Linked DNA regions of Lepisosteus oculatus. The protein of the gene in region 1 purifies or fractionates together with the protein of each later gene. This does not show direct contact. Links are inferred from orthologs where the notes say so. Each region holds a gene or a part of one and is shown in the gene's direction. Other genes may lie near its edges. The genes, in order: exosc5, zinc finger C3H1 domain-containing protein, hbs1l and exosc10.

The links.
Region 2: the proteins of exosc5 (region 1) and zinc finger C3H1 domain-containing protein purify together in Homo sapiens (affinity purification with mass spectrometry; 3 studies listed by BioGRID and IntAct, with this or other methods). This does not show direct contact. The link is inferred for Lepisosteus oculatus from reciprocal best matches to the Homo sapiens genes EXOSC5 and ZFC3H1.
Region 3: the proteins of exosc5 (region 1) and hbs1l purify together in Homo sapiens (affinity purification with mass spectrometry; 3 studies listed by BioGRID and IntAct, with this or other methods). This does not show direct contact. The link is inferred for Lepisosteus oculatus from reciprocal best matches to the Homo sapiens genes EXOSC5 and HBS1L.
Region 4: the proteins of exosc5 (region 1) and exosc10 purify together in Homo sapiens (co-immunoprecipitation; 8 studies listed by BioGRID and IntAct, with this or other methods). This does not show direct contact. The link is inferred for Lepisosteus oculatus from reciprocal best matches to the Homo sapiens genes EXOSC5 and EXOSC10.

Annotation. Positions count from the first base shown.
Region 1 is NC_090698.1:6,249,032-6,256,469, reverse strand, and holds the start of exosc5 (exosome complex component RRP46), read left to right. Parts: upstream 1-4,432; 5' UTR 4,433-4,466; coding exon 4,467-4,572; intron 4,573-5,125; coding exon 5,126-5,239; intron 5,240-6,365; coding exon 6,366-6,487; intron 6,488-6,763; coding exon 6,764-6,904; intron 6,905-7,130; coding exon 7,131-7,220; intron 7,221-7,301; coding exon 7,302-7,397; 3' UTR 7,398-7,438. Other genes in the region: bckdha (2-oxoisovalerate dehydrogenase subunit alpha, mitochondrial), read right to left, coding at 1,185-1,361, 2,375-2,491. UniProt on the Homo sapiens protein: Non-catalytic component of the RNA exosome complex which has 3'->5' exoribonuclease activity and participates in a multitude of cellular RNA processing and degradation events.
Region 2 is NC_090702.1:22,679,739-22,687,112, forward strand, and holds the start of zinc finger C3H1 domain-containing protein, read left to right. Parts: upstream 1-4,371; 5' UTR 4,372-4,538; coding exon 4,539-5,073; intron 5,074-6,153; coding exon 6,154-6,591; intron 6,592-6,959; coding exon 6,960-7,036; intron 7,037-7,374. UniProt on the Homo sapiens protein: Subunit of the trimeric poly(A) tail exosome targeting (PAXT) complex, a complex that directs a subset of long and polyadenylated poly(A) RNAs for exosomal degradation. The RNA exosome is fundamental for the degradation of RNA in eukaryotic nuclei.
Region 3 is NC_090697.1:50,019,629-50,026,551, reverse strand, and holds the start of hbs1l (HBS1-like protein), read left to right. Parts: upstream 1-3,904; 5' UTR 3,905-4,072; coding exon 4,073-4,115; intron 4,116-4,640; coding exon 4,641-4,706; intron 4,707-6,059; coding exon 6,060-6,194; intron 6,195-6,332; coding exon 6,333-6,527; intron 6,528-6,923. UniProt on the Homo sapiens protein: GTPase component of the Pelota-HBS1L complex, a complex that recognizes stalled ribosomes and triggers the No-Go Decay (NGD) pathway.
Region 4 is NC_090720.1:2,766,159-2,773,720, reverse strand, and holds the start of exosc10 (exosome complex component 10), read left to right. Parts: upstream 1-4,560; 5' UTR 4,561-4,757; coding exon 4,758-4,883; intron 4,884-5,371; coding exon 5,372-5,508; intron 5,509-5,884; coding exon 5,885-6,008; intron 6,009-6,580; coding exon 6,581-6,685; intron 6,686-6,966; coding exon 6,967-7,132; intron 7,133-7,264; coding exon 7,265-7,373; intron 7,374-7,562. Other genes in the region: serine/threonine-protein kinase mTOR, read left to right, coding at 254-326, 514-588, 823-958, 1,241-1,306, 2,155-2,235, 2,690-2,770, 3,338-3,443, 3,858-3,873. UniProt on the Homo sapiens protein: Catalytic component of the RNA exosome complex which has 3'->5' exoribonuclease activity and participates in a multitude of cellular RNA processing and degradation events.

The DNA of each region.
Region 1 (7,438 bases):
AGGTGCAATGGGGCACACAGTCCAGGTTACAGTGTGGATGCTTAATCACGCTGTGGACCGTGTGGAGCACGTTTTGGAGTGTGTATGCGTCACCCACCCAACCACATCAAGGACTGCAGAAGTACAGCAATAAAAGACTTTCTAATTGACTTTCTCCTAACGAGGTTGTTAAGAGAAGGAGAAATTAACTTCACAGAAAAGGATGGAAACCACCTGATCCTGAAACACACTGCATGGGGACATGCTGTATCAGACAGGTGAGAAAGCCCAGCAGTGTGCTGAGCTGCTGTCCGTACTGAGCTCAGGGAAGGCTGAATCTGCACAGGCTGTCTCTCGCTCCCCTGATCCCACAACTCTGGGGTGTGGCTGGGAGCTGCTTGCATCCCAATGTTGCCCTGGGCAACCAGCGCATTCGGACAGACTCCTGGCCTCCTTCTGACCCCGTGTGACCTCACTCAGGACGAATCTCCCCAGGGCCACTGATGCTTCTTCAATCACACAGACCCTCCCAATCTCAGTCAGGCCCCCGAGCAGACTGCTTCAGCTGATGGCATTAATTCAGATAGCTGTACTCATGCCAGCCTCCTGCTGCATCAGGGCACCCTTCTTCGTGCTCCGTAATAATTCAGACAGCTCCATTTTCAATCAGCCTGCACCGCTACTTCATCCTCTCTCGTTAAGGCCTCGCTCCCGCCGAGCCCTCCTGGAGACTTTCAGGCTCCTCTGAGGACCTGCGCGGGCAGCTCTGCCTGCCCTTTCACCATGGCCCCAAGAGCTCAGCGACCACAGCCAGACAGCAGCAGGACGAAGGGAGAGAAGACCACGGAGAGGAAAAGGGAAATGAGAGCTGTGGAGCTGAGAGACAGAGAAAGGGGGAAGGAGAGTGTGGGGAGGCGGAGAGAGACAGTTGGGAGGCAGCGAGAGACAGAAGAGAGGCAGAGAGTGGCAGTAGGGGGCCGTAGAAAGGCAGAATGAGACAGGAGGGAGGCAGTAGAGAGGCAAGAGAGAGGCAGTAGGGGGGCAGAGAGAGGCAGTAGGGGGGCAGAAGGGAGGGGTTGGGGCACAGAGAGGCACAGAGAGAGTGAGATGAGAAGCAGCGATGAGGGAGGAGTGAGAGAGGACAGGAGAGGGGAACAGGAAGAGAAGAGTGGGACTCGTGTGGACAGAGGCGGGTGAGCAGGCACCTGGGGGTCCTCGGCCGGGTTGATGATTTGGCCCTGCCTGTCCATCACGCGGTACACCGGGATGCCCGAGATGACATTAGGCTGGATGAACTCCAGGTGATCCACAAAATCCGCGGACGCCCCGGGGAACTGAGGCTTCTCATCCAGGGAATCGAAGGTCTGCTGCCTCAACACCGCCTGGAAGGGAAGAAACAGACATTAATAATGGACACAGAGCAATTCAAACATGAACAGTCCGCACTCCTGCACACTGACAGCACAGAGAGACAGAGGGGTTAAAACACACACAATCCACACTCCTGCACACTGACAACACAGAGAGACAGAGGGGTTAAAACACACACAATCCACACTCCTGCACACTGACAGCACTGAGAGACAGAGGGGTTAAAACAAACAAATTACATAGTTGCACGCTGACACTACATTATTCAACGAGACCAACTTATAGTGTTCGGTTACTATTATTTTATTAAAATAATAATGACGACAGGGGTTTGGGAAAAATCCGAGATTCACGCACACCTCATCTTCCCTCGGCAACCGAACACATATTTAAGGTGACCCTATTTTACAGGCGAAACGCCTCCGCCCCCTAAATTGACCAATCAGCAGCCCAGACCACCCAGCCTCGAGCCAAAGACTCGAGGTGATCCCAAAGTTATTCTAACAACTCACAATCTCGGAACAACACAAGCGCTTTTGCAGATAAAGCGATATCAAGACAGGCTTTCCATTTATTAGACTGCTGTGTGTACACGAACTGTGTTTTTGTATATATACGCAGTTAGTCAAAGCGGTGGATTGTGATGTAGAATCCATTTAGCAGTACAACGATAAACACATTTCAGATAAACACAATCGCACTATAAAGGTAGCCTTGTGCGTAAAAGATGACAAAAGCAGACTTTTTTCAATCCCGTCATTATAGTAGTAATCATAACCTCATCACAATTTTCAAGACAACAATATCAACAACAACCATATTAATAACAACAATGCAATGTATATATTCACAACTAATAATAATAGCAATGAAACGTAGCTCTATTATTAATCTATACATGTTAAAACACCTGTCTGATTACTGCAAAAGCCGCAGTTGAAAGCCGTATTGAATTTCAGTGAACGTGGCTTCTCCACGGTTTATCGACGGGATTGGCCGTGAAAGGGGGAGAATCGTCACTCACATTAACACGGAAAGCCCTGCCCGGGCAATGTCGTAATTTGGGATAAAATCCGGTGTTGTGACAGATTGATTTGAATCCGATTCTGCACAGACTCCTGAGACCTCCAGCCGCCGCCATCTTGGATCTTGGGTCTGACAAGCTGCCCTGTGGAGCTCCAGGCACCTCAATCGTCAAGGTCCCAGAAAACACACGAGTGGCAACAAAAAAACTCAAAACAACTCAAAATATGAAAGATGGAGACATATATTTATTTTCATTGCGTAAAAAATAAGTTTATTAGTAAATCATGTTTATAAAAGAGCGCTAAAAGGCGTGTCGTTGATTATCTGCTTTGTTTGTATTCAGGCATCGCTGTAGCCTTCTATCACGACTTTCATGGATGGACCCAATTACTAGGCGCTGTGCGTCACGTGATTCTGTAAGCGGGTTTTTCTTTTATTTCTTATTTAAATACAAAAAAAGAAACTACAACAAACAAGGGTATGCACATTCAGATGTCACAACATGACAGCACAAAGGCAACATCTAATGAATGGAACAGAATAACAACTCCATGGCTAGCAGCCCTATCACCCTGCAGCTCACAACTGGCAGCCCACTGGAGCTCAGCAGGTGTGAGCCTGATCAGTACCTGGATGAGAGACCTCCTGGGAAAGCTAAGGTTGCTGCTGAAAGAGGTGTTAGTGGGGCCAGCAGGGGGTCTTCGTAGTCTGTGTGGGTTCTAATGCCCCAGTATGGTGATACTGTAAAAAGGGGACATCCTTCGGATGACATGTAAAACTTAGATCCTGACTCTCAGTGGTCATTAAAAATCCCAGGGCATTAGGTTGTTACCCTGGCGTCCTGGCCAAATTTCCCCCTGGCCTTTACCAATCACGGCCTCCTAATAATCCCCATCTCTGAACTGACTTAATCACTCTGCTCTCCTCCCCACCAAAGCTGGTGCGTTCTGGTGCATCATCCAGGTGGGGCTGCACACTGGTGGTGGTGGAGGGGAGTCCTCATTACTGTGAATCATTACCTTCTAAATCAGTTAAAACGTTATCAACAGTACAGAGGTTGCGTGGTGTTAGGGGTCACATTAAATAATATGTTTATATGGTAAATGATTTCTGTAAACCAACTCACCAAGCATATTTTTAAATATTTTTAATGAATCTGAGTATAGCTTAAATGAATTAGAATTTTTTTAAAGCACTGTGGTCTTTATACAATACAGTATAGTATTTATAAATGATCCTTCAAAACAGATATAAAGTTCTGAGCCACAGGTCAGTTGGAGCTGTTCGAAGCTAATTGCTTACAGTATATACAACATTGTTTTGGATTGTTTTAAATGTTAAATTTAGATTTTGATATTATTTTATATTTTATTAGACCTGATTTGGATAAAGGATATGTTTTTATTATTAATCGGTTAATTATTTTGGCAAAATACAAAATACATCCAAAAAAAGTAAATGGTCTAATACTGCTCCCTCTATTAATACTTTCAAGGTAGAAGTCCTTTTTTATTTAAATTCTATTAGAAATGTTAAAAATCAAAAGGCAAGACATTCAATGGAATTATGTAAAAAGTTTAATTTTCAGCTTTTATAATTGTGAATTCCTCTGGCTGTGAAGTGTGTCTATTTTTGTATCTGTATTAATATTTTGTCTCATTTTTGTATTCCTGATGCTTAAATAAAACATTAATACAATAAAAATGTTTTTGACTATTTCTAATTGCAGTAGAACATCCCTCTGAGAAGCATCTTGACTCTTATAAAATAATAATGAAACAAATATGGTGTTTAAAAAAGTTTAACGATTTAAATGATAAAGTGATTAAAAATATCTAATATCTAACTGAATTTCAGATCTGTTGTTTTTACATAGGAATTGTTCAAAAACATAAAAAATGTACAAAAACACTAGCAGTATTCACAGAAAATGTGTCTGTCAATTTGACGTTATAGGTTTAAATGGTCACAAAATTCAGCACAGTGGTGAACGTCATTTACCAGCGCCTTTGTTTAAGATTCTGGAAGGGCTCTATTTAGTGACGTATTAGGTCTGCGCCGCAGAAACACCGCACTGCTTGGTACACACGATGGAAGTGGAGGAGAGCTCGACTCACCCCACCACAGCTCTGAGGGAGTTCGGCTGCGAACAGAACCTGCTGTCAAGACCGGATGGTTCGGCCTCGTTCGTGCAGGGTATGTTCATGCTTTACATTTTTTTAAAAAAGGATTTAATTGCAAGCGCTGTCTTCACGCGAGTCCACTTGGGCACAAACAAGGTTTCGTTGTTTCTTCCCTCATGCTTCATTTTTATCTGGTTCTGAATGAGTTCGGAAGGTCCTCTTCTAGCTCTATAGTGCGTTTGGGCCCTATGTTATGCACTCTCTGTGCCCGTGCCGCTGTCTTGACCGCTCACTCTGTGCCCGTGCCGCTGTCTTGACCGGTCACTCTGTGCCCGTGCCGCTGTCTTGACCGCTCACTCTGTGTCTGTACACATGCCGCTGTCTTGACCGCTCACTCTGTGCCCGTGCCGCTGTCTTGACCGCTCACTCTGTGTCTGTACACATGCCGCTGTCTTGACCGGTCACTCTGTGCCCGTGCCGCTGTCTTGACCGCTCACTCTGTGCCCGTGCCGCTGTCTTGACCGCTCACTCTGTGTCTGTACACATGCCGCTGTCTTGACGGGTCACTCTCTGTGTGTGTGTCTGTACGTGCGGCTGTCTTGACCGCTCACTCTGTGTGTCTGCAGGAGACACCAGTGTCCTGGCTGGGGTGTACGGGCCAGCGGAGGTGAAGGTCAGTAAGGAGATTTATGATCGGGCTACAATGGAGGTTCTGATCCAGCCGAAAGTGGGCCTGCCAGGTGAGAGCTAACCGCCTGTCTCTGCTCTGCACACACCACACTGCATCAGGGTATACAGGCGGAGAGTGTTGTGTAGCGCTGACCAGCAGTGCGCTGTATTCTTTATTATCTTCAGCCATACTCTCTTTGTCTGCAGGCCATACGCACCAGCAGTACCACCTTGCAGTCTGCAACCTTATCTTGTCAGGTCTTAGAAACTAAGCAAATCTGGAACTGGACAGGACAGTGATGGGAAAACAAGGCTTCTGCAGGATGTAGCACTTGCGGACCAGTAGGGGGAACCCTTCCCTCTTCAAGTTAATTTCCAATACAAAACTAAATGTTTCATTAAAAAAGTCCTAGCATGCTGACAGGGGACACTGTGCAACAGGAGGTTCTGTCCGTCTGGTGAGATTTTAAACTGAGGTTCTGAATACTTGATTGTTAAAGATACCTTGTACTGTTCATCTCAGTAGATTAGTTAACACAAGAGGTTTGACCAAATTCCACTCTGGTCTGAAACAGTCTGCCCTACTTAAAGTTCCCCTTTATTCAGCTGGTGAGGTAGTTTCTCTCTCCTACTGATGTGCAGTTATATATGTTGCACTTTGGGATGAAAGGCTCAACATTGTGTAATAAACACATGACTAAACTGACCCTGACAGTGTGGAGAACACCCCCAGAAGAAACATTTGATGTTTGCAATATCACCTTGCAAGTGTTAGATGTCCAATACTACTGTTCGCCACAGTGTGGCAGCAGCTTCATGTATAATAACCAAACACTGATCGCTACCCTGATGGGCTGCATTAACCCTCTGCTGTCTGTGTCCTCCTCCTTCTCATCTCCTTCTCCCTTCTTTTCTTTTAACCCACCTCACCACTTTATTCTTTTGTTTCTCTCCATGTTTTTCTCTCTTTTATCTCTGTCCCGTCTCCCTCCTTCTGTCTCGAAGGTAATGAGAGCTCTAGCAGTGCAGGGTGTGGTTCACAGCTGCTTTGACGATTCAGTGCTTTGTTGTCTCACTTTGAAAATTGTCGTCCTTTGTTGCTCAAGCAAAAGCCTGGTGGTGGTGTTTTAAAGTTTGTGAACGAGAGGTTGTCAAGACTCTCTCTGTCTCTCCCTCTCTCCCGGTCTGAGTGTGCAGGAGTGGCCGAGCGCTCTCGTGAGCAGTGCGTGCGAGAGACGTGCAAGGCGGCTCTCCTCTCCTCTCTCCACCCGCGCTCCTCCCTCACCCTCGTCCTGCAGGTCGTCCATGATGATGGGGCAGTATCCTTCACAATGTGTCTGTGTGCAGGAAGACCAGTCTGTGTGTCTCTGTCTGTCTCTGTGTGCAGTAAGGCCAGTCTGTGTGTCTCTGTCTGTCTCTGTGTGCAGTAAGGCCAGTCTGTGTGTCTCTGTCTGTCTCTGTGTGCAGTAAGGCCAGTCTGTGTGTCTCTGTCTGTCTCTGTGTGCAGTAAGGCCAGTCTGTGTGTCTCTGTCTGTCTCTGTGTGCAGTAAGGCCAGTCTGTCTCTCTGAGTCCTGTTCCTTAGTGAGGACCCCAGCTGTTGGCGTGCAGTTTGAATGCTGCTTGTATGGCCTTGATGGACGCGGGACTGCCCATGCGCTGCCTTTTCTGTGGGGTGACCTGTGCCATTGACCCTGAGGGCCACATCCACACTGACCCCACTGCTGCACAGGAGAGGGTACTGTACAGTGCACAGTGTGTACAACCTTGTACATACACTGACCCCTCCAACACTGACTGCTTCACTGACTCAACAAGTGCCCCTAGACACTGGTCCGTACGGTGTATTGACTGGACCCCTAGGGATCCCCACACACTGACCAACACTGCCCCCCTAGTCTGAACCTCCTTTCCACCCATTTTTTTTATGTGACAGTCTCTCTTTCCCCATCTCTAAATCACAGGAGAGCCGCGCAGTGATGACATTTGCCATTGACAGTGCAGAGCGCAGAGTGATGATGTCATCGACCAAAGGGTCCTTCTCAGTGAGTGAGGTAAGCTGCTGGAGCTCTCAGTCTTGTGTTTGTGCACTGCAGCTCCTTTCTGTAATAACCCAGTGTCCTCTGCCTCTCCAGCTGCAGCAGTGCATCGCAGTCAGTCAGCGGGCATCAGGGAAGATCTTCCAGTTCTACAGAGACTCTGTCAGTAGGAGATACTCCAAGATGCTGTGACTCCGCCTCTGCTCCTCTCTCCCTTTCTGTGCCTTTTTGTA
Region 2 (7,374 bases), on another chromosome or scaffold:
TCAATCTTTTTTATGTTCTGTGAAACCCAGCAAGAGCAATATAGGGAATTTAATGATGATGGATTTGAAAGAATGAATTTGAATTTACAGTGCCATGCAAGAGTATTCAGACACTTGCATAGTTTTGACATTTTTGACATAAACAAATATTTATTACAATGACAAAACACATAAACTACACAGCACAAAACATACAACACACAAAGTTACATTATGTACAGTATTTACAGACAAGGCGTTTCAGAGGGCTAACATTCTGGTCACCCAGAAAACCCCAGACTGCTACTAAGCACTTAACTCTTAATATGCCTACAGACGCCACACAAGAAATGAGCTGCCTTCTAACTAAATACAAAGTAACCTGCAGTTACATCTCTCTCTTTGCACCCTGCATGCCACAAAATAAATGGGAGCCTTTATCCCTATCCATAAAATGCACACTAATCAGGAAAGACGTTTTTAACTGAGGTATCTTTTACCCAGGAAACTCAAGTTCCCTAAAAACACAGAATAGCACACTCTAATAAGGTTCAAATACTTAGTCTAAATTGAAAAACCTTGGAGTGATATTCTAATCTGGATTAACATTCGACCCACATCTGTGGCATATTGTCAAAACATCTTTTTTTCACCTCAGAAATATCACTCAACTAGGCCCTATGCTGTCACTAATTGTGGCTGAAAAGCTGATCAACACATTTGTGTTCTCTCTGCTGTAATGCTCTACTCACTGGGGTATCTAAATCTACTTTGAACAAACTGCAGTATGTCCAAAATTCAGCAGCCAGAATCCTGACCAGGTCTAGTGCAAGTGTTCACATTACTCCTGTCCTGGGAGTCCTTGCACTGGCTTCCGGTCAAATTCTGTGTTGACTTTAAAATCCTCATGCTCACTTATAAGGCTCTGCATGGCTTGGCACCTCAATAATTGTCTGAACTATTATCGCCCTACTCCCCACCTCGCAACTTTCGCTCTTCAAATTCTGGTCTCCTTTCTGTCCCCCAAGCCCGTCTACATTGTATGGGTGACAGGGCCCAAGCTCTGGAACTCTCTGCCTAAGGATATCCGAGAGTCACCTTCTCTAAACTCATTATAATCCAGACTTAAAACCTTCTTCTTTAGAAAAGCCTTTACTTAACTGTTCCATTCTTCTGCTTTTCTTAGTACTACCATCCTCAGTCTCTTCTGTATATTGTAATTGTTTTCTTTATTGTATTTTTTTCATTTATTGTTGTTGACATTCTGTAAAGTGCTTTGAGAAGCCACCTTTAAAGGTGCTATATAAAATAAAGTTTATTATTCTTATAACTTCCCTAGGTATACTAAGGTAAACTTTACCATTGTTTCTGCCCAAGGGACCTCCCCCAGACATCAGCAAACATCCTCTTTGCTTTATAATTAGAAGTATTTTCTCTTCTCAGTGTCACAAACGTTATCTAAAATCTAAGAGACACTTCTAAGTCACCTAGCTGGAACATTAAGGTATTCATTTGCACCGAACAATGTACAAATGACAAACAATGTACAAACAATGGTTTTGAATAGTTATGCAGTCACAACTTTTCCATTTGTCTTTCATATTAATTATTGACTTCTTTCTTTTTGTGACTGATGTGTAGAGGTATATATAACAAATGACTGTAAGCCACAAAGCAGCAAAATGTCAAAACTATGCAAGTGTCTGAATACTCTTGCATGGCACTGTAAATTCAAATTCATTCTTTCAAATCCATCATCATTAAATTCCCTATATTGCTCTTGCTGGGTTTCACAGAACATAAAAAAGATTGAAAAATAAGAGGACAGACAGCCTATTTACAGTATATTTTTTATTCTACCAAATACATTGTTGGAGAATCTCATATATCCATTTCTTGAAAAAAGCAGAAGCAAGATAACAGTTTTGACAACAAGCAGCCTTGCTCAAGGCTTTCAAAGCATTATTACCAGTGAAAGTAATGGTGACTGCTTCTCATAAACTGGGACTAGTAAGCTTGACAAGAGTATTGGGAACATAGAAAGGCAATGTGCAGGCAACATTTAGTGGTTTAGAATTATTTAGAATCTTTGGAAAGACTTGAAAACGTCTGTACAGAAGCAATACCCAAGAAAGCTGAGAGACCTTTAGCAAATCTGCCAAGAAGAGTGGGCATAAATTCCATGAAGCTGGTGTACAAAGGTACACAAAGGTACTGTACACAGACTTACTCAAAATGACATAACATAACATGAGGTGACATAACATAACATGGAGGTGGTGGCTGAGAGGAGAATGCTGACCAAGCTCATAGCCATCATGAACACCTCTCATCCGCTTCATAGGACTGTTACTGGGCAGGGGAGTACATTTAGCAATAGACTGCTCCAGCTACGGTGTTCAAGGGAACATTTCCGCAGGTCTTTCCTCCTGGCGGCTGTCAGGGTGTATAACGCTGCCCTAGGCTAGGACTGTTAGCCCTTCATTTGCTCCTCTATGGACAGCATGTTTACTCCATTGTACTTTTTGGACAATCAGTCTGTATAAACCTATGCACATTTTGCACATATTTTATTGTTTTTACAATGACTATGATCAGCACATTTTGCACACACCTATGTATTTATTTATTTTTATTTATCTTGTTTGTCTTTTGTTTTATAACTATTCTGATGTCTGTTTTGCTTGTCTTGGGCTGGACTGCTGTAACACATCAATTTCCCTACGGGATTAATAAAGTATTATCTATCTATCTATAACAACAACATCACGTTATTAGCCCTATACAATTTCTTGCATTAGGAATTCATCTTTTCACATACCCCAGCTTGCTTTCCATGAGAGGCAGACAGGAAGAGAGAAGTTTGGGCTCAGAGCACAGGGTCAGCCATTGTACAGCAACCCTGGAGCAGTTGGGGTTAAGGGCCTTGCTCAGGGGCCCAATGGAGTAGGATTTCCCCACCAGCTGTGGGATTTGAACCAGCAACCTTCCAGCCACAGGCGCAGATCCTTAGCCACAGATCAAACTGATTAAACATGAAACTGTATTTGTTGCCAACGGTGCTTCCAACAGATACTGAGTTCACAGGTCCGAATACTTATGCAGTCAACATATTTCAGTTTTCTTTTCTCTTTAGTGTTTGCTGACATTTATTGTGTTGTATCCTACCCTTAGAGATATTCAGTCTGAGGCTTCAGGTCTTAAATGACATATTAGGTTTAAAAAAAATGTGTATTGTTTTGCGATTTTAGAAAAAGGACACCATAGGATGGGTCTGAATACATTCGGAAGGTACTGTAACGTATAATGTTCAGGAACATGATACATTTCCCCCAAGCCCATCTATGATGGCGTTTTTAAAGAACATGCTTCATGTTAATAATTTTCAAAATACCTGTCTCATAAACTGTTTTTAGTGTGAATTTATCTAAAGATCTGGAGGATATTTTTCTTAATACTTTTGTATTATGCCCCACAAAGGGGGCAATTCATGTGATAGTTACAGAGCACCTAAAGTAAATCCATGCTGACCCAAAGATAAAATGCACATTCCACGCAGAATTCACCCCATCCAGAATTGAACCAAGGACCTAAGAACTATGAAACTATAGCAACCACCCACACTGGAATGGAACTGAATTAAATATATAACATTTCCATTCTAATATTATTTTTCTGCCATAGTATTTTGTGTTATAATGTAATTCTTTTTTAAAATTCTTGGAAATCTCTAAATGATTTAAATAATTACATGTTTACTAATTTCATCGTTAGTAAACGACACGCAAAGAAGTAAATAATTGGAAAAATAAAAGCATCTACACCTCTAAGATTCATTAAGTGTAAATAACTTTGAACAATACGGTCAAACGTCGCTGCGCGGATTTGCACTGTATATTTTACTAAAAATGTCGACTTTCGCAGTGTCCCGTTATATTCTTCAGGGTAAATTTTTGGGACAGTAAATGAGCTCTCAACTCATTCAAGTCAGGTCTTTCAGGTTATTTAGGAATGCTCAAATATTTTACTTCATGTGGTTAAATGAGCAGCTTCTCCTATACCCGGGAAAATTTAACATGCAAGATTTATGGAAACAAGAATCCATAAGGTTAAAATGTAATCACGGAAAACAGTTAACATTGCATCAATGCTACACATGACGTTCGGGAATTTACAATTGCTTCGTGTACACGAACGAATTTAAGGCATCAGTTCAGCACTTTTATTGAGGAACACGAAAAACCAAAAATACCAAAGTAAGGTTACATGCCACAAGTAAATCGCAACTTTCTGCGTCTGTCATTGCATGCTGGAAACACACAGCCTATCAACATGCAAACGTCTAACACGCTGGCAGACGCAGCTTCTCCTACGACATTTGCGCACACTCGGTTTTCCTTGCGAGTCTCGCGATAGAAGAGAGCGACGTGAGGCCGGATCTCGGACCAGGAAAGAAGATAGGGACTGCTGGGGAATTGCACGTCTGTAATTGCTGATTTCACAACCTGGCCCAGGAGCATTCCTGCCTTCCAGAGCAGTTACATCAGTAGGGAATAGCGATGGAACTGAGCTCGAGCGTTCGGTCTCCGAGGGAAGAAGGCGAGCTGGAGGACGGGGAGATCAGCGACGATGACACCGATGAAAGGCAATTCGTGCGCCGTGACAAGAGGCCTAGCAGCAGCTGTAACAGCAGCGCAGGGCGTTTCGCTCGGAAGCCCAAACCCGGACCGCGGACATTACCGCCGCCTCCCATGGGGGGACCCGGCCTCGACTTCCGAATGAAAATGCCGTTCAACCGGGGACCCCATCCTCATCCCCCCAACTTAACTGGCCACAGGCAGCAAAGTGGAGCAGGCGTCCCCGACCGATCGCTGTCAGCCCAGCATTGCGACTCGGGTCCCAGATCGTCTTTCTGGGAGCGCAGCCACACCGCGCTGGGCAGGCTGAGGTACCGGAGGCCAAACGATGGCCGCGGAGACTGGGGCAGAGGGGGTTGGGGTGAGGGGGTTGGGGGCAGAGGGACTGGAAGGCCGCCCCCATGTCGACTTGGATTCGCCGGGGCACCTATCAGGAAGGAGTCCCCTCCAAGAAAGCGTATCCTTGCCCGTCCTTCGTTGCCACTGTACGAGTCCGACTTCAAAACCCGTTGATTTTTATACTTTCCTGGACAGTGAATCGTACAGCGTGTTACAATTCGTATCGCACATGTTGAAGCGATGACCGGCTTCTGTAGATTCGCTGCCCACACTCGAAATGTTAATGTGACCATTTTGGGTAACTGTGGCTATAAATATTCCTTTTCCTAAGACGAATAAGAGCTGTGTCCCGGTCGTGTTTCTAGGCGTTACCCCGACCACATTTGCAAAAATGTATCTTTTGTTCTTATTATACATACGGTATATGTTAGCTCTGCTACAAGGCTTTAAACAGACAGCTCAAGAACAATCGTCGAGACCGGAGGTCGACGTCAGCACCTAACAGGCGCAGAATCCTCTTTCGTTTGTACAGTTGACTTCCGCTGTTGGCACAGTCAGACGACTTCAGGAATAACGCAACCCCCTTGAGTTGTACGGTATAGGATAGCGGACACACAAACCCAAACTAGTGCGAGGAAGAATATTTGGTTGAGGTTTTTTTGAAAAGCACATTACGTTTGTACCCATGCACGTAGCTGGGCATTTTCCTGGAGCAAATTGGTCCAATTCCTCACTGCTCATGTGTTCAACAGACGTTCTTTCATCTTTCTGTAAAGAAAAGTAAAGCAATCACAGATGAATGGTTCATAATCAAAACACTAACAGTTGACACCTTTAAGCAAAGACTATTATTTGTGAACACCTTTTCTTCTTGTGGATTAACTGTCCACTTATAAGAACAAAGATGTCATTTGGCCCATCAAGCTGGTAGTTATTAATTGATTAATTTCATCCCATTGTTTTCTCTAAACCAAGGTTATCGGCTTCAATAACATGCCAGGGTAGCTTGTTCCATGTTCCCATAACTGTAAAACAAGTTTTAAATGCATGTTGTTTCCACTTGTGCTCACTCAATTTTAAATAATACAAATGGTTAGTTAGTAATACATTTGCTATGTAAAACTGTTATATAATGCAAACCTAGCATGTTTTTGATTCGGTTTTACAGATATTTATCTTCCTTCACTTCTTTACTCAGCAAAATTGTTTGGGAGACCTCAGGTGAGGAAACCCATTCATAACACTGCCAAAACCGAAAATGGTATTGAAGAAAGCTTTGAGGATTTGCTTTTGAAATATAAGCAAATTCAACATGAGCTGGAATGTATTAGGAAGGAGGAGAGGATGGCGCTGAGCTCCAAAGATCCTTCGCCTCAGAAAGAGGTAGAAGGAGCCCCCAGTGTTGATCAGGCTGTTTCAGGCACGGTCAGTATTCAGAAGGAAGCTGCTATAAAAGAGTCTCCACCTCCGGAGAAGCCCGAAATCAAAGTTTTTCAGGCTTTTAACCTGAAACCTTTAAGGCAGAAGCTTCTGACCCCTATGGAAAGAGATGAGATGAACAAGAAAAACACGAAGGAAGCAGAAAAGTCAGAGAACGCTGAAATAAGCCCCCTTGAGCCCAGTGACACAATAAAAGGTAAAGAAAATTCCACCTTAACATAATTGTACATCACATTCACCATTTTATTTGACCTCGCTAAAATATAAACACCATAGGGCTTTTCCCACTTACTAGAGATGTGTGTGTGATATGCCACTTTTCTCATTTCCTTTTTTATTTCTACTACATTACTCTAATGGTTCTCTTTGTAATGCCTTTTCATCCTTACAGATGTTAATAATTACCCTAATAAGTCAGTCTTTTGCTACAATTCCGTTTAATTTGTGGATTGCCTCTGTCTTGAACTTGTAATGTCTGCCTTGAAAGTGTGCGGATTAGTCATTTGTTTTTACTTTGACCAAGTCCAATGGGAGAAGTGTTAAGCTTGTTTCTCTTTCTTAAAGATAAGGAAGATGAGGAGGAATTGGATTTAAACAATTCTTATCAAAGCAGCAAAGAATCAGATGACCTGCCTTATACTGTAAGTAACACAGAATGACATTCACAACGATGTCCGACTCGGTTTAGTCTTAGCAGGCATTTCTCCCACAGATGTTTTGCGTACACCACAAAGCTGTATTAATCATACAGCATTTGAGTGTCTTGGACAAGATTTTCCTGCATTGTTCTTCATGATGTGATGAAATCATCGCCAAGATTGATTTGAAGACAGGTTTTTTCAGATTACACCTTGTATTAATTAATTCAAAAACATTTCCAATAGGACTCAGTAAATGACTGAATTAATTACTGCACCAGTGGAGAAACGTTCTAAGATTTACTCGCATTATGTAGTAAATGGCAGTGTGGCTGTTAGTA
Region 3 (6,923 bases), on another chromosome or scaffold:
GCCCCAAAACCAATTTTAAAGCATTAACAAATTTGACGAAGCATAACACAGTCACTTTATCAAAATGACACCAAAACATTCAGTCAAAATCCAAAATCTGCATACTTCAATTTTTTTATACATAATGATCATACATAGAATTATTATTTTCTTTTTTTCCCTTGCAACAAGAAGTAAAAGAAAAAGAAGAATAAGAATATAACAAAACTTTGTTAAAGTGGTGCCGAGATTCATCCTTCATAAGAAATGGAAGTAAATGCTCTATCAACAGTTCACAAAGTCTTAACTGTTATGAAGCCAATGACAGGCCTACATTATAGAAAAGCTTTATGATATGGAACTATTGTGATGTACTGTACTGTATATATTTGAGAAACTCTTGTTTGAGGATTGTACTAATTAATTTTAGCACAGTGTGGGTATTTCAGATTTTTCATTTTTTCTGCAATTTGCCAAGTAAACTATTCACCTTTTCAGGAAAATGAGTGGAGTTAGGAAATACCACATACTACCTTAAAAAAATAAATGCTTTAAAATAGTAGTATACCGCATACTACTGTATGGCTGTGTACAGAAGTATAAGAAAATAGTATGTATATATCTGTTATGAGCATCAACAATTTACTAAAAGCCTCCATTAGTCTGTTCTACTATTATAGTAGCTTTGTTATTAATACAGCTTAGTTTGAGAAGAAACTAGAGTTTCTCATTTTGAAATCTGAAATTCATATTGATTAGAATCTCCAAAAATGTGCTTGCTGTCCGTTTGAATTCTTGTAGTAGCACTTACCACTAATATCTCAAATATAAAAGTAATTGTCAAGTTTATCGTATTGTGAAAGCCATTAAGTGCAATGAACAACAACTGAAAATCTTTTATAACATCCTTAAGAAGAATCTTCCTATAATCTTCTTTTAGACAAAAAAATAAATACTTCTGAATATACATATGTGGGATTTTATTTGAAATGTATATTTTATGTGACAGAAATTCTAAAATTCTGGATTGAGATTAGGGTACAAACATTATGATTTTAAGCCTATTTCTATATCACACAGATTTAATAAGAAAATCCTTCCCTAGTTCAAATTTCCCTTCTAGTTTCGATGAAGAAATAATAATGTTTTATCTGTTTAAGAAGGCAACAAAGCAGAGCTTGGTTTCTGATTTTTCTTTCAATGACATTGAACAAAGGAAGAAAGTGAAAAAGGTACATCTGTAAATTTGCTTGCAGCATGCAGCACACCTGTCCACAAAAAGGTGTCTCATCTCCTGTGGATGCTGCTTATAAAAATGTTTATTTGAAAACAGTCAGGTCATTGCTCCACTGACATCGACATGCCCAGCTGTTATGTGAATGGACACTTAGACCTTAGCCTTTCTCAGTGCAAGCAAAAAGAACTATTTTCTCAAAACAATGTCTATATAAGCTGTGTCACATAATGTTGATGTTGCTGGCTCTTCAGCTTCACCAGTTCAGAGAGGGACTGTTCAAAATGTTTAGAAGAAACCAAAGAAGTAAGCATAGGCAAACTATTTAACACCTTTAAGTAATACTCATTTCTGCCTTACTGTATAGATTGAAACTGTAGGTTATTTTAGGAGGAAATGTAATTTTTCACTCATGACAATTTCTTTCCTCCTGCAACTTTTGTGTCTGTAAAACCTACTGTACTTTATGGTATATCAATCTAAGCTGACTGTCCAGCTGGTGCCAACTGTAGTTTAAAACATCGGGTAGGCTGTGCAAGTCATCAAAACCTACCGGTATTGTTTTCCAAAGCTTTGGTAAGTAGAAAATGAGGTCTGTCATTTGTATCAGGGGTGCACTGTAACTAAAACATTTTACTCAATTTGGACTTAGATTAAACCATAATAAACATATTTTGGCAGTTACCTGAAAGGAAGGTCTCCTGCTACATGTTGACTGTTCACTGAAATTAAATAATTTAACTACTGTATGTCATGCAATTTATCAGATGTCTGGAATGTGTGCTAAAATTTTTGTCATGCCATGTTCTTCATATTGACGATCTTCTGTGCTACAAGGGTGTAAAGCTTTGAATGAACAATATTTTAGTTTCACTTTGAGAACCATCCATTACCTGAAAGCTGCTTATCCCGATGAGAGGACAGGAGACTGGAGACTGGAGTCTATCCCAGAAGCTGTTTCACAAGACAACAAAGCAGAGCTTTGAGGGAGGGATCCAGGTAGGATCCAGGTAGGACCAAGAGCACATGAGTTGCCTTCCGCTGGACGGGACCTGAGTCCATTGCAGAATCATGGAGAAAGCGGAAATTTAGCACAGCCAATAATACCTAGGCAGCACTTCTTTAGAAGTTGGGAGCAAACCAGAGCACCTGGAGAGAACTCATTTCAAAATCTGGAGACACAGTCACACCTTAGGCCAGACTAGGGCTATGAGACATCAATGTTACCTGCCATGACAATGTACAAAATATCTCTTTAAAATAACGGGTATGTAATCAGTATAATGGTTTTGAGCCGCTTAAATTATAACTAATGGAATGGAATACTAATGGTAGCTTACTTTACCAGTGTTAACCCATCATACATACTGGGCTCATTTCACACCGAAATGATTTTTACTGGCCTAAGCCAAAGATGGATATTATACCAGTTTACTTACTGTAAGTAATTCAAGTAAAACCAGAACGTGAGAGAAGAGGCTATCACAGAGAAAGAACTGCATTATCAAACTCCTTACAGGGTCTGTGACCCTGGTCCCTGACAGCCACAGTCTCTTTTGGTTTTAACTCACAGCAGAGTTCTTACTGACTTATTTGGATTGAGCCTTCTCTTAACCACTAGAAGTTGTTATTGTTCCAGATCTCCCCTTGTCAGCTACTTCAATTCACTTCTAAACCTTTTGAGACTACGGATGACTAGGACCTGCATCCTGAATGGTTCTCACTTCCATGTTTCCCAAGTTATGTTTGGTCTGTTAGTACTGTATGTAAAACAGCTTAGTCTCCGGTGTTTTGAAGTGCTTTTTAATATTTTTCATTACACCTTTGAAACAATAAAAATTACAGTCTAACTTTCCAAAGATTGTCGAAGAGAACCAAACTGGATTTAGCTGTTTGAAAGAAATTTAGCTGTGCTGAATATAGTCACAAACTCTGGATTGTGTGTTTATGCTCCCTTTCAAACAAAGGGTTAAGAAGAGCTGAGTCAGACAATACAAAACACACTCAACCTGTGCCCGAGTAACCTGCAGGAAACCCCAAATATGCGTCTCTTCTACATTTTCAAAAGGATGTTTTTCCCTACGACAAGTGATTGATCAGCTTGTGCAGCTTGCTGTTGTCATAACCTTGTAAAAATGTTAACAGCAGGTGAAACAGTTATTAACCTTCATGAACTGTTCAGGCCATAACAACGCGTTTAGCACATTTTAAAAGGGCAGATTGTACCTGCATCGTTGTCCTCTTTTGTTATGACTTAAAAGTCTCAGCCACAGATTGTTTGGTTTCATAAATTACACAACATGACACCCCCTTGCCTCCTCCCCCACTAACATATGTCATGAGAAAGTAAAAGTAAGAACAAAATAGAAAGAGCCCTATTGCATCTTTGGAAAATTAACAAGTTTCTTAAAATGCTAACATGCTTGTCTTTTCCAGTTTAAGTATTTTCTTTTTCTTTTTGGAGTACAGTGGATCAATAGTTTGGAATATTTCAGTTTATGATCGCAGCAGTATTGAATTCAGAATTCCACTTTCATTGTGTTACAGACCCAAATATTTACTAAAGATTGACTGTAACATGTCAATTTAGGTGAGCAGGTGTAGGACTATTGCTTGAAATAACTAACTTAATTTCACTTCGGCGCGTCTCAATGGTTAACTCGGCACAGGCAGAAAAACGGAGCTGGAGCAGAGAGCTGCAGTGCGCTTGCTTGGAGAATGCGCAGTGAGACGTCGGTGGAAACAAACATGGCGGCTGGAAAATGAAACGAAGCAGCTACGGTTACATTGCTGATTTATCACCAACAGTGCGGTTTTATCTTTAACCACCTATAAAGGGGCGAAGGGAAAGAATCCAAAATGTCTCGACACAGAAATGTCCGGGGCTATAACTACGACGAAGGTAGACGCTCTTCCAAGTTGACTGTAAGATTGTGATATTCCCTTGTCAGGAAAATGGAAGTGCTGTCGTGTCCCTTCCACAGGCTGGGCACAGGCCAACGCTTTAGTCAGAAAGTTTTATAACATACGAGCTAGCGGATACATAAAAATAGCTGTAGTTATTCTATAAAAGCGCTTTTGTGTACGAATTTGCGAATGGAATGAAACTGAATCTTTCCTTTAAAAAGCAAAACAAGATGTACTTCATGTGGTTTTACATTTCCCCCATTCATCCTGGCCTCCTCCTCGTTTCAAATTAGCAGTACTGATAGTTTAGGACACCCCTGTACGTTAGTCATTATTGAACATTATAGAACTTCTGTAGCTTTATGTAAATAGTTTTGGTGTTTAGGTGCTTTTAGTAGTTAACACAATTTGTGTCATAAGACTTAACTGTTCATTGCAAATACCTACCAGTGTGCAACGACAGATAATACATAGTGTACCATGCTTAGATATTTTCACAGCTACAGTTTTGTATACACAGATTTTGAAGATGATGATCTATATGGGCAGTCCGTGGACGATGACTACTGCATTTCCCCTGCTACAGGTTTGTGGGATGCGTTTCTTATGTGTCTGAACTTGAATTCTAAAGTTTTCTGAATCAAGATTTTGCCGATTTGATTAGATGGTTTTCTAGTGGTCTAAGCACTGTATTTGTTGAACATGGACCTCATTGAAGATGTGGACGTTTATGCAACTTGGTTATTTTCAATTTGAAAGCTAATCAAAGGATTCGATATAAAACCTAAATTAAGTGGATGAAAAATCTGCATATTTTGTTTTGTAATGTTTTGAACATTGGCTTTTATCTTGTGTAGTATGAACTACACATGATGGATGCGCATGGATAAGTGTGAAACTATTTCTGATTAGTATAGTTTTAACATAATCACACTGTTTGTGGTAAGACTTGGTGATGTTTCACACATTTAGGGTTTTTATTACTTTTCTTTTTTTAATTCTTTCTTGGCAGTAAATATGGATTGTTAAAAGTTGGATATTCTGCATTTTTATGATTCTACACATGATATTGTATTAAAACATGCAATTGTCTTCTTTGCATACTTATTTAACTTTAACAAGAAACTACAGTTTTGAATAAAGTCATATTTTGGTGTGGCAGGTTTATCAGTATTAAACTAAAGACAAATGAACAGAAGCATTCTGGGATGATGTGTCATCTGAGCTAGTAGATGAGTATGCAATGTCTATATCTTTTATTGGTCAAAGCCATTTGTAATATCTTGCATCTCTCTAGTTACTCAACCAATTTATTAAAATTCGTGTTTGCCTGGTAGGATTATCCATTCACAATGGAATAATGTGGCAGTGGGTTTGCAAGTGGTCTGGTATTTGACCTCTTTTGGCATCAGTTGTAGCTGAACACAATTAAAAAACAGTTTACTAAAACGTGTGACGTCTGTGTTAAAGCTATCTGTCCACAGTAAGTTTTTACTTTCAGATGCTTAGTGTTATTTGTAAATAAACGTTTTGGATCTTTCAGCCAGGTTTTAAATCATTTTTGGACAACTAGTGTGATTTGTCCAGAGTATCCTTGAGAGTAAATACATTCAACAAAGTAAATCAATTTAGTGAATTTTGGGAGAAATGAAGAGGCAATTTATGGAAAAGGGACAGATGATTTGCATGTGTAAGGATGCTAAGTAACCTATTGAATTGTGGCGACTCATGTATGTTGATGTTCACTGTCTTAATGTTTTGAATTTTTTTGTTGCCAGTATAGTTACAAAACGATCCCCTACCATGGAATGAGGCAGCTTGACTTCTTGTGTCACAGTTTTCTGCAGATGAAATGATGGCGCATGCGTAAGGCGGGAAATTCTGGATGATAGATTTTGTGCGTCTCCCCCCTTAATATCCCAGTGTGCTTGTTTTGCAGCTGCCCAGTTCATCTACTCCCGACATGAGAAGCAGGCAGCCTATGCAGAGCCCCTGGAGGAGGAGTATGGGGCCGAAGAGGAAATGCCTGTCTCTCCCAGTCCGAACCATCACAAACTTGACACTCTTTCTCAAGGTATAACACAAAGCTCAAGTGATTTTAACAGATGTGACATTAATTTGATGACGCTATCAGTTTGCAAGTCATATAACATTTTCTTGATGTTAATGAAAGGCGATCAGCACAGTTCCCTCACACACTTCTTGTTTCCAGGGCAGCTGTACTCCTGTCTAGATCAGATGCGAACAGTGCTTGGCGATTCCATCCCTGATCCTGTGTTGGTAGAAGCTGCACTCAGCTGCCAGTTTGACCCACAGAAGGCTCTGGACTTAGTGCTTTCTGGGGAAAGCAAGAACACACCAGCAAGAAATCAGCAAGACAATGTGTCTGCTGTGAAAACTGACAGAGGTATGTTTGTATTGTCTTAATTCGTTCTGTTGTTTATTCAGCAAGCAAAATACATTTCTTTGCGCGTGCGTCACACCTTAGATTTTCTCATGACTTCGAAACCCTCAGTCGTGCAGTTGGTGTGTGCAATTCTGAATAAGCGGACAGCAAAAAGTTTTTTCTACTATCTGAGGCTTTCACTAAATTGCATTTCAGAACACTGTTGCTTCAGTGTTTCCAACAAAGTCAGGAATAACTAAATATTTACACAGAGGTATTGTAGTTAAAACCCTGTTTAAATATTGATAGTAATTAGGAACTGTTTATTCACTGAATAATATTCCCTCATTATTACCTGTAATGACTTGAGAATTAATTTGAGAACATGAGAAGTTCATTTTCTCAAATGGTTTAAAA
Region 4 (7,562 bases), on another chromosome or scaffold:
TGCTTTTATTAAATGGTCAATTTTTTGCATTATTCTTTTGTCCGGCCTGTACGTGTTTTATGACTTCTGCATGCAGCCCTGGACTTACTGCTGGGTTCGTTAGTCATAGTATGGCTTTGCATTCAGTCGAGCGCGTGCCTGAACTTCGCCCAGTGGAACCAGCACAGATACAAGGCTAGAGTTACTCCTGTTGCAATGGCATATTAAAGCAAAGACATGATGCCATTACTATCCCCTTAAACATAATCCCCAGGCATCCCTCCAACCTGATGCTGGACAGACTGAGTGGGAAGATCCTCCACATCGACTTTGGCGACTGTTTTGAGGTGGGTTTGTGAATGATTTTCGTTACTCCGCAGAGCGCAAAGTGATAGGAAGAGGTGGAGAGATGATATGGGAAGGACCCACTGTTGGCAGTGTAGGCGTTGTGTCTGCTGGGGAAGAGAAGAGCTCTTTCCTGCAAGGAACAGAGTGAAGGAGATATTAACGCTAACGTGTTGCTGTGGTTGACAGGTCGCCATGACCAGAGAGAAATTCCCGGAGAAAATTCCTTTCAGGCTGACCAGGATGCTTACTAATGCTATGGAGGTGAGCGGGTGTATTTAGGGGGGGGGAAATGGTTAAAAAAATCTTTATAGTGCAAAATAAATGAATGTTACACAGTAACAACTGTGTTGTGCGTGCACTGATGTTGATGGCACCATGCAGAGAGGTCAATAAGAAAACCAGGGTGCTGTTAGAAGCAGGACTGGTGAGTCCAGGGATGCGGGCCAGCCCGTGCTCTGGGGTCTCAGGGTGTTCCGCTCCGTGTTTGCCGTCCAGGTGACGGGCCTGGATGGGAACTACAGGATCACGTGTCACACGGTGATGGAGGTGCTGCGGGAGCACAGGGACAGCGTCATGGCCGTGCTGGAGGCCTTCGTCTACGACCCCCTGCTCAACTGGAGGCTCATGGACAGTAAGGGACCCGCAGCTCAGGCCCCGGGGCCAACCGGTCCGCCAGCCTGACTACCCACAGAAAACATCCTCTTTAAATCTTTATCATGGGAGCGTTCAGGAAATTGTAGTCTTCTGTGTGTCTTTTATGTGTTGCCTATCATAAAGTACACATGCTTTTAGCCATAGTTGCATCTTAAATTTAACTGTGTGAGAACTTCTCATTTCTGGTAGTAGCCTGTGCATGACCTCTTGCACCAGTACCACCTTGAACTCGCTCACAGCTCTTCGGTTCTGTCCACAGCGAACACAAAAGGGAATAAGCGATCCAGGACGAGGACCGACTCCTACACCGCGGGGCAGTCCGTAGGTGAGCACGAGGGCTGGGAGGGGTGGCACTGTAGCAGAGAGGTTGGTCTCAGGACGTGTTCAATTGGGATGTTACCTGGTGAATATGGTGGGCAATCAGTACATGGCTCTGCACTCACTCTCAGCCTTCTGAGGACTAGAGGGAGAATATTAAATTGGTTTGCTTGTGCCTCTGCTCTGTAGCAAGCCTACTGAAGGAAAGCAAACTTTTTTTAAGGCCATATCATGGGCTCCTTGGATATGGGTGTTTATGGCGATGAATCATTAGGTGATCAAATCTATGTAATTAAAAGTGTCAAATTTAAATCAAAGGATATTATGTTAAAACTGTAAAAATGTATCATTGAGAATATTGTTATAGAATAGATATTGTTGCTTTGGAATCTGTCCAGAGAAGAGCAACCAGAGACCTTCTGGGACTTGAGGGACTGAACTGTCCTCCACTGGCAGTCTGAAGGAACTGAATCTCTTTCATGTGCAACAGAAAAGACCGTGGGGGGATCTGATAGAAATGTTCAAGGTTTTCAAAGGCACTGACCCAATCAAACCATTTAAAAACTAAGAACAAGGAGGAATGTTTTTACTCAAAGAGTAAAGCAAGCTACCCAGCCAGGTTATGGAGCCTGACTTCTTTCAAGTAACAGTTGGATGAGATCTTTGGAACAAGAAGAAACTTCATGTCAAACGAGCCATGGTGGTCAGTTGATTGAACTCTTATTTCTAGCTTTCCCTAAGAAGGATCTGCATTCCAGAGTGGGAGAATCCAAATGGGGTGTAGGGTGCAGAAACGGTCAGAATAACGTCTTCATACCGAAAAAAAAAATATTCTATGCTTTCTTTCATTTTCAGAAGCCCTGGAGGGAATTGAGCTTGGTGAAACGACACACAAGAAGCCAGGAACCACAGTGCCTGAATCCATTCACTCCTTCAGTGAGTTCAGACTCGCAGGAATACCGGCGTGTCTGCTATCTGGTCATAGACCATAGAGCTTGAGAAAAGATTGTTCCCAAGAAGAGACAAGCTTCTCTTTTTCAATTCTTACCACAGATGCGTGGATCAGAAAACCAAAACAACAGTGAACGTTTCAGTTTGCCTTTGCCTGTCTTCTGTCTTAAAAAAACATTTCCATTTCTAACACCACAAATTGAATTGTTCATTGATAGCACATGAAGAAAGACCTTTTGTCAACAGCGTGACAGAAGGTAGGAGAAGGAACACAATACTGGCATTCTTTAACTTAATAGAATGCAGAAAATGTCCTACTTTATTTGGCTGAACCAACTTCCTTTTGTCAAACATTTCAATGCATTTTCCAAAACATTCAGCAAGATAATGGGGACACATGTTTTTGAGAACTGAATCTAAAATGTTTTCTCCCTTTCAGTTGGAGATGGCCTAGTGCAGCCTGAAGCCCTGAACAAAAAAGCTATTCAAATCATCAACAGAGTCAGAGACAAATTGACCGGTGAGTACAGCACAGTCAAAATGCCATCAAAGCTTGGAACAATCAGGCTTAGACATTGGTGAACAAACTTGTTTTCCAACAATGTGGGTGAAGTACTATATGAGTGTATCTCTTAAACAGGAACTCCCCATCTGGGAATAAAACAACTTATCTTTAAAATATTACATGAGAAAAGCACAGCCCAGAAAATCCACAGAGATTTTTTCATTTTTAGGAAATATTTGTTCAGTCATGTAGTCTGAAGGGTGACACCACCTCACATGAATAAAAGCCTGGAAGCTGTTTATTCATGTGAGGGACATCCATGGTCTACATCTGTACAGCTTTGTTCTTGCACTCTAGAACAGCTGTTTCGCAGCAACAACTTTGACCAAAATTAATGATAAAGTGGACACACATTGAAAAACAAAAAAAATGATGTTGCATTGAAATTGATATTAAAGGTTTTAAATAAGTACTTAGCCCTCATCCCCACTTTGATATGACACATAGATTAAAATGAATTACTCGCTGTTCCTGGAGTCCTGAAGGATGGCTTCTGATGCTTCCCTGCTTGTCCCCTCTCAGGTCGGGATTTCTCCCACGATGAGACTCTGGACGTCCCAACTCAAGTGGAGCTCCTAATCAAGCAAGCGACCTCCCACGAGAATCTGTGCCAATGCTATATTGGATGGTGAGCACTATTGGTGCCTACATGAATCCCCAGTTGACAGATTGGGGTGTGGTTCTTCAGATATGTCCAGACAACAGCTTGTCACTGTAGGAGAACGATAGATGATGTAGGCAAGAAGGGTTCGGCCAGGGTGGTAAATATACCAAATATACCAAAGCAAACTAAAGGATTGTTGTGTAATACTGTGTCTGGGGATTAGGAGTTCTGCCCTTCTGTAGACAGAGGTGAAGCCTACAAAAGGTTAAGACTGGGATTCCGACGAGGAGTTAGGTTTTGTTTTATTGGGATTTTTTTGTACTGAAAGAATTTGTATTTCTGCAGAAAAAGCAAGCTGACACATCAAATCTCCCCTTGAACAAAAGGAAATCTGCAATCTGAGGCATCTGACTTGTTTTTCCTTTTCTCCTCCTACAGGTGTCCATTTTGGTAGCAGAGCTCCTACATCTTTTTCTCTCTACACCGTTCACTAACACTTGGCGCCATGCCGATCACCACAAAACAGACTCCGCAGTTCCAGACATGGAGACGTATAGCAGTGTTAATGGCACATTTTGAAAGCCCTGAACGCAATTTAAACCTAAACTGAACTCAAATGAGGTTACTGCTGTGGACTTGGAATGTTGTGAAATGCCACTTGCGTACTGTTAAAATGAGTTAAATATAAACTAAATTTAATTTAATTTACTCACCATAAACTTTTGAATTAATATCAGTCTGCTGTAATGTACTGTAAGTTTTCTTTGGCAATAAATAGTAGATAAAAAAAGACATTTGCATACTCTGTGTGTTCCTTTGTTAAAAAAATGTATTACTGAATTGTAACTTTAAAAAGTAAATGCGTTTCATATGAATACTATTGGGTTGACTTTTCTTCAATCTTGTACTTTTGCATTGGTTGGCCAAATGTAGATTTGAAAGCAAAAGCAGCTTTATCCAATATGTAATTTAAATAAATCACCTAACACGAAATAAATGAGAAGGGACATTACCCCCACTGTCCTGATAAAGTTGCATTGTAGGCTTTATGTGGTAAACCTATTTCTGAACCTCATAGCGATGTCTGTTGTGTATCGAATCTGCTGGTGTCGAATCGTTGTCTCGTTTTACTCAAAAAGAGTGCTGCTCTAGAGTGGTGGCGGCGGAGGAGCACTTTGAAATGAAAGTTTTATATAAATACAAGGGATTATTATTGTTATCATACTTTGATTAGGTACTGTTGGTCTTATTATTTATTATTTTCTTCGGCCATGCCGCCCGGTTCCTCCCCCTCCCCTAAGAGGAGTCCACGTCTCGCGTGACTTTAACATTTTCAAGATGGCAGCGTCCACGAGCAGGAGTGGCAGAGGCAAGGGAAATAATATTTCTCCGACAAACGAAGAGGCAGAGGGCGAAAAACCAGAACTTTTGCCCGGCTTTAAGGATGCCGATTCATTTGTGAAGGTTTGTGGACGAATTATTGGTGAATACCCCCGGTCATTCTCGTATAAAGGCCTGTGGGTGAATAAGGGTTCACGAGTGGCGTGTTTACCAGCTCAGCTGTAAACGGTGTAATTAATAAAAAAAGACGGTGTGATTAAGGTGCAGAGTAGTCACGCTTTATAAGGCTCTATGAGTGATGGCTACCGTTTTTTAAGTATTATACCACAAGGTGCAGATTTTTATCTCCGTGCGTTCCCCCTAAAAATGCAACGAGCTTTGCTGTTAACGTGGAAATGTCTGGTTTTACCTTTCCCGACGTTTTAAGAAGTACCATTAAAAAAGTGTGCAAAATCCACAGTGTGATATGCTCGATAAGAAGCACTGCCGTTGTGGAGTATAAACCTTAAATTGTACGAGCATACGCATCTGTATCGTGTTTCGGTTGTTTAGTTTCAATTGGTTTTTGACTGGCTGCTCTTGACAAGTGGCTCTTTGAATCTGTTTTACAGCACGGCTTGGGAACTGTAGTAGCGGCCACGAAAGCTTCTGCAAATCTGCCGCAGGCTGGGGACGAATTCGACTTCTACCGGAGCTTTCCCGGATTCCAGGAGTTCTGCGAAACGCAGGGAGAAAGACTTTTGCAATGGTAGGCAGTTATAGTAAATGTGATTCAGTATGTAACATAAAAAGCATTGAATGGATGCTGGTGAAATTAATAACTGTATCGTTTAGATCCTGTGTAAAAGCGACTTCATGCGTGTACAGTCCTAGGAGTTCTTTCTAGCTACGTCAGTAGCTGATCTGGTAGTAGTGAAGTGCTGTTTAGATCAGTCAGATTTTTACTAGTTTGTCTGAAGCTCTCTCTGTGTTATTAGTTTTATTTGCATTATCAGCTTATGCATGCATGCATATAATTGTGTACATGAATTCATACATGAAAATATACAGAGACATTGTAAATCTCTGAAGTGTTTCTAGTGTCTTTAAGATTGCTTGTGACGATGTAATGGATGTATTTGCAGTATGAGTCAACTGATGCAGTACCATGGCTGCAAATCTCACATGAGAGATCGCAACAAAGTGACTGGCCTGGAGGAGAGATTCGACTTGCTGGTTGACTCCAATGATGTCATACTGGAGAGAGTGGTACAGTATAATCTTTTTCCTGGACAGCCTTTTCAATGTAAAACCAGGTCCAGAATGGTAGAAGGCTTAGGGCTCTGGTCTGCCCAAAAGGTCATGGGTCTCACTCCTTTGAACGAGAGTCCAAACTTTAAAACTGAGAACCGTTTACAAAAACAGTAATCGTTTTGGATAAAAAGCAACTATCAGATTAATCAAAGCAGCTCGAAGGGCAGAGATAGTTTTAAAAGCTGTAACACTGTTGCACTGACTTTTTGGTTGCTAAGATTTTGTCCGTCATTGTGTTTTGTTGGGAGTGTGCTGTAAAATGAGACAATAAAGGCTGAATTGGTAAAAAAGCCGTTCAAGAGCAGTATAAAGCACACAAAAACAAATTGGCACCCTTCACCAACCAGGTTTGTTAAACCAGCATTTTGGTTACTAAACTATAACTTGTATTGCAAATCTTGAGGAGCCCTGCTTAAAGCTGATTCTGAGTTGATGTATAATTCTTTTAATGCATATTCTTCTCAAACCCTTGATATATCTAACTTGTCATGATTGGCTTTAAATTATATCTGTTGTTGTTTTTGCAGGGAATACTACTGGATGAGGCTTCAGGAGTGAACAGGAACCAGCAGCCCATCTTACCAGCTGGTATTCAGCCTCCAAAGACCATCGTATCTAGCTGGAACCGCAAGGTAAGACCGCTCATGGCTAACCATGAACTCACGAAGCCAATTCACAGGCTTCAGGTGTTGGATAAATCGGAACTTCTATCAATCTGTAAATTCCATACTCCTGGCTTCCCACAGTAGACCCCTTCCATCTCCGTTTTGGAAAGCCATTGTAGGGTTCGGAATTCCCAATTCACAGTCTGTCTGGCTTTAGAAAAGTGGATGTCTCGTGCTTACCTTTGTTTTTTCATAACTTGCTCTGTTTAATAGCATCCAGCAAAAGTCCCTTGTCTCTTGATTCCTAGAGCAGGGATTCCAGCAAGGCGGCCAAGTCTGAGACATTTCGCCTTCTGCACGCAAAAAACATTCAGCGTCCTCAGCTGAAGTTTCGGGAGAAGGTCGACAATTCTAACACACCCTTCGTCCCCAAGATCTTCGTCAAACCCAACGCGCTGAAATCCCTTCCAACGTGTAAGTTGGTCCCAAGCGTCTTTGACCTTGCAAATGTCATCTGGAAAAGGAATTTGTATGAGGCAATGCAGGTATGATGATCAGTCTTTGACATTGTAGGTCTGATTCTTTTTACTCGTTTGTCTTTTTAAGATTTTACAGACCAAAAAATCCGCAAGGAGAGGCCTGAAGATCTGGATGTGCCTCCAGCACTGGCAGATTTTATCCACCAGCAGAGAACACAGCAGCATCTAGATGACATGTGAGAGAGCCAGTGGTTATTGGATATATATACCATTGTAAAATAAAACAAGTGTACCGTGGAGTGGACTTTATCGTGTCTTGTATTGCTTTAAGGCATTTGCCTAAAACTAACCAGTTAAGTCTAAGAGGAGTTGATTGTAATGCTCTTATTTGTAACCTTTATATTGTATTGCTTGGAATCTGCCAC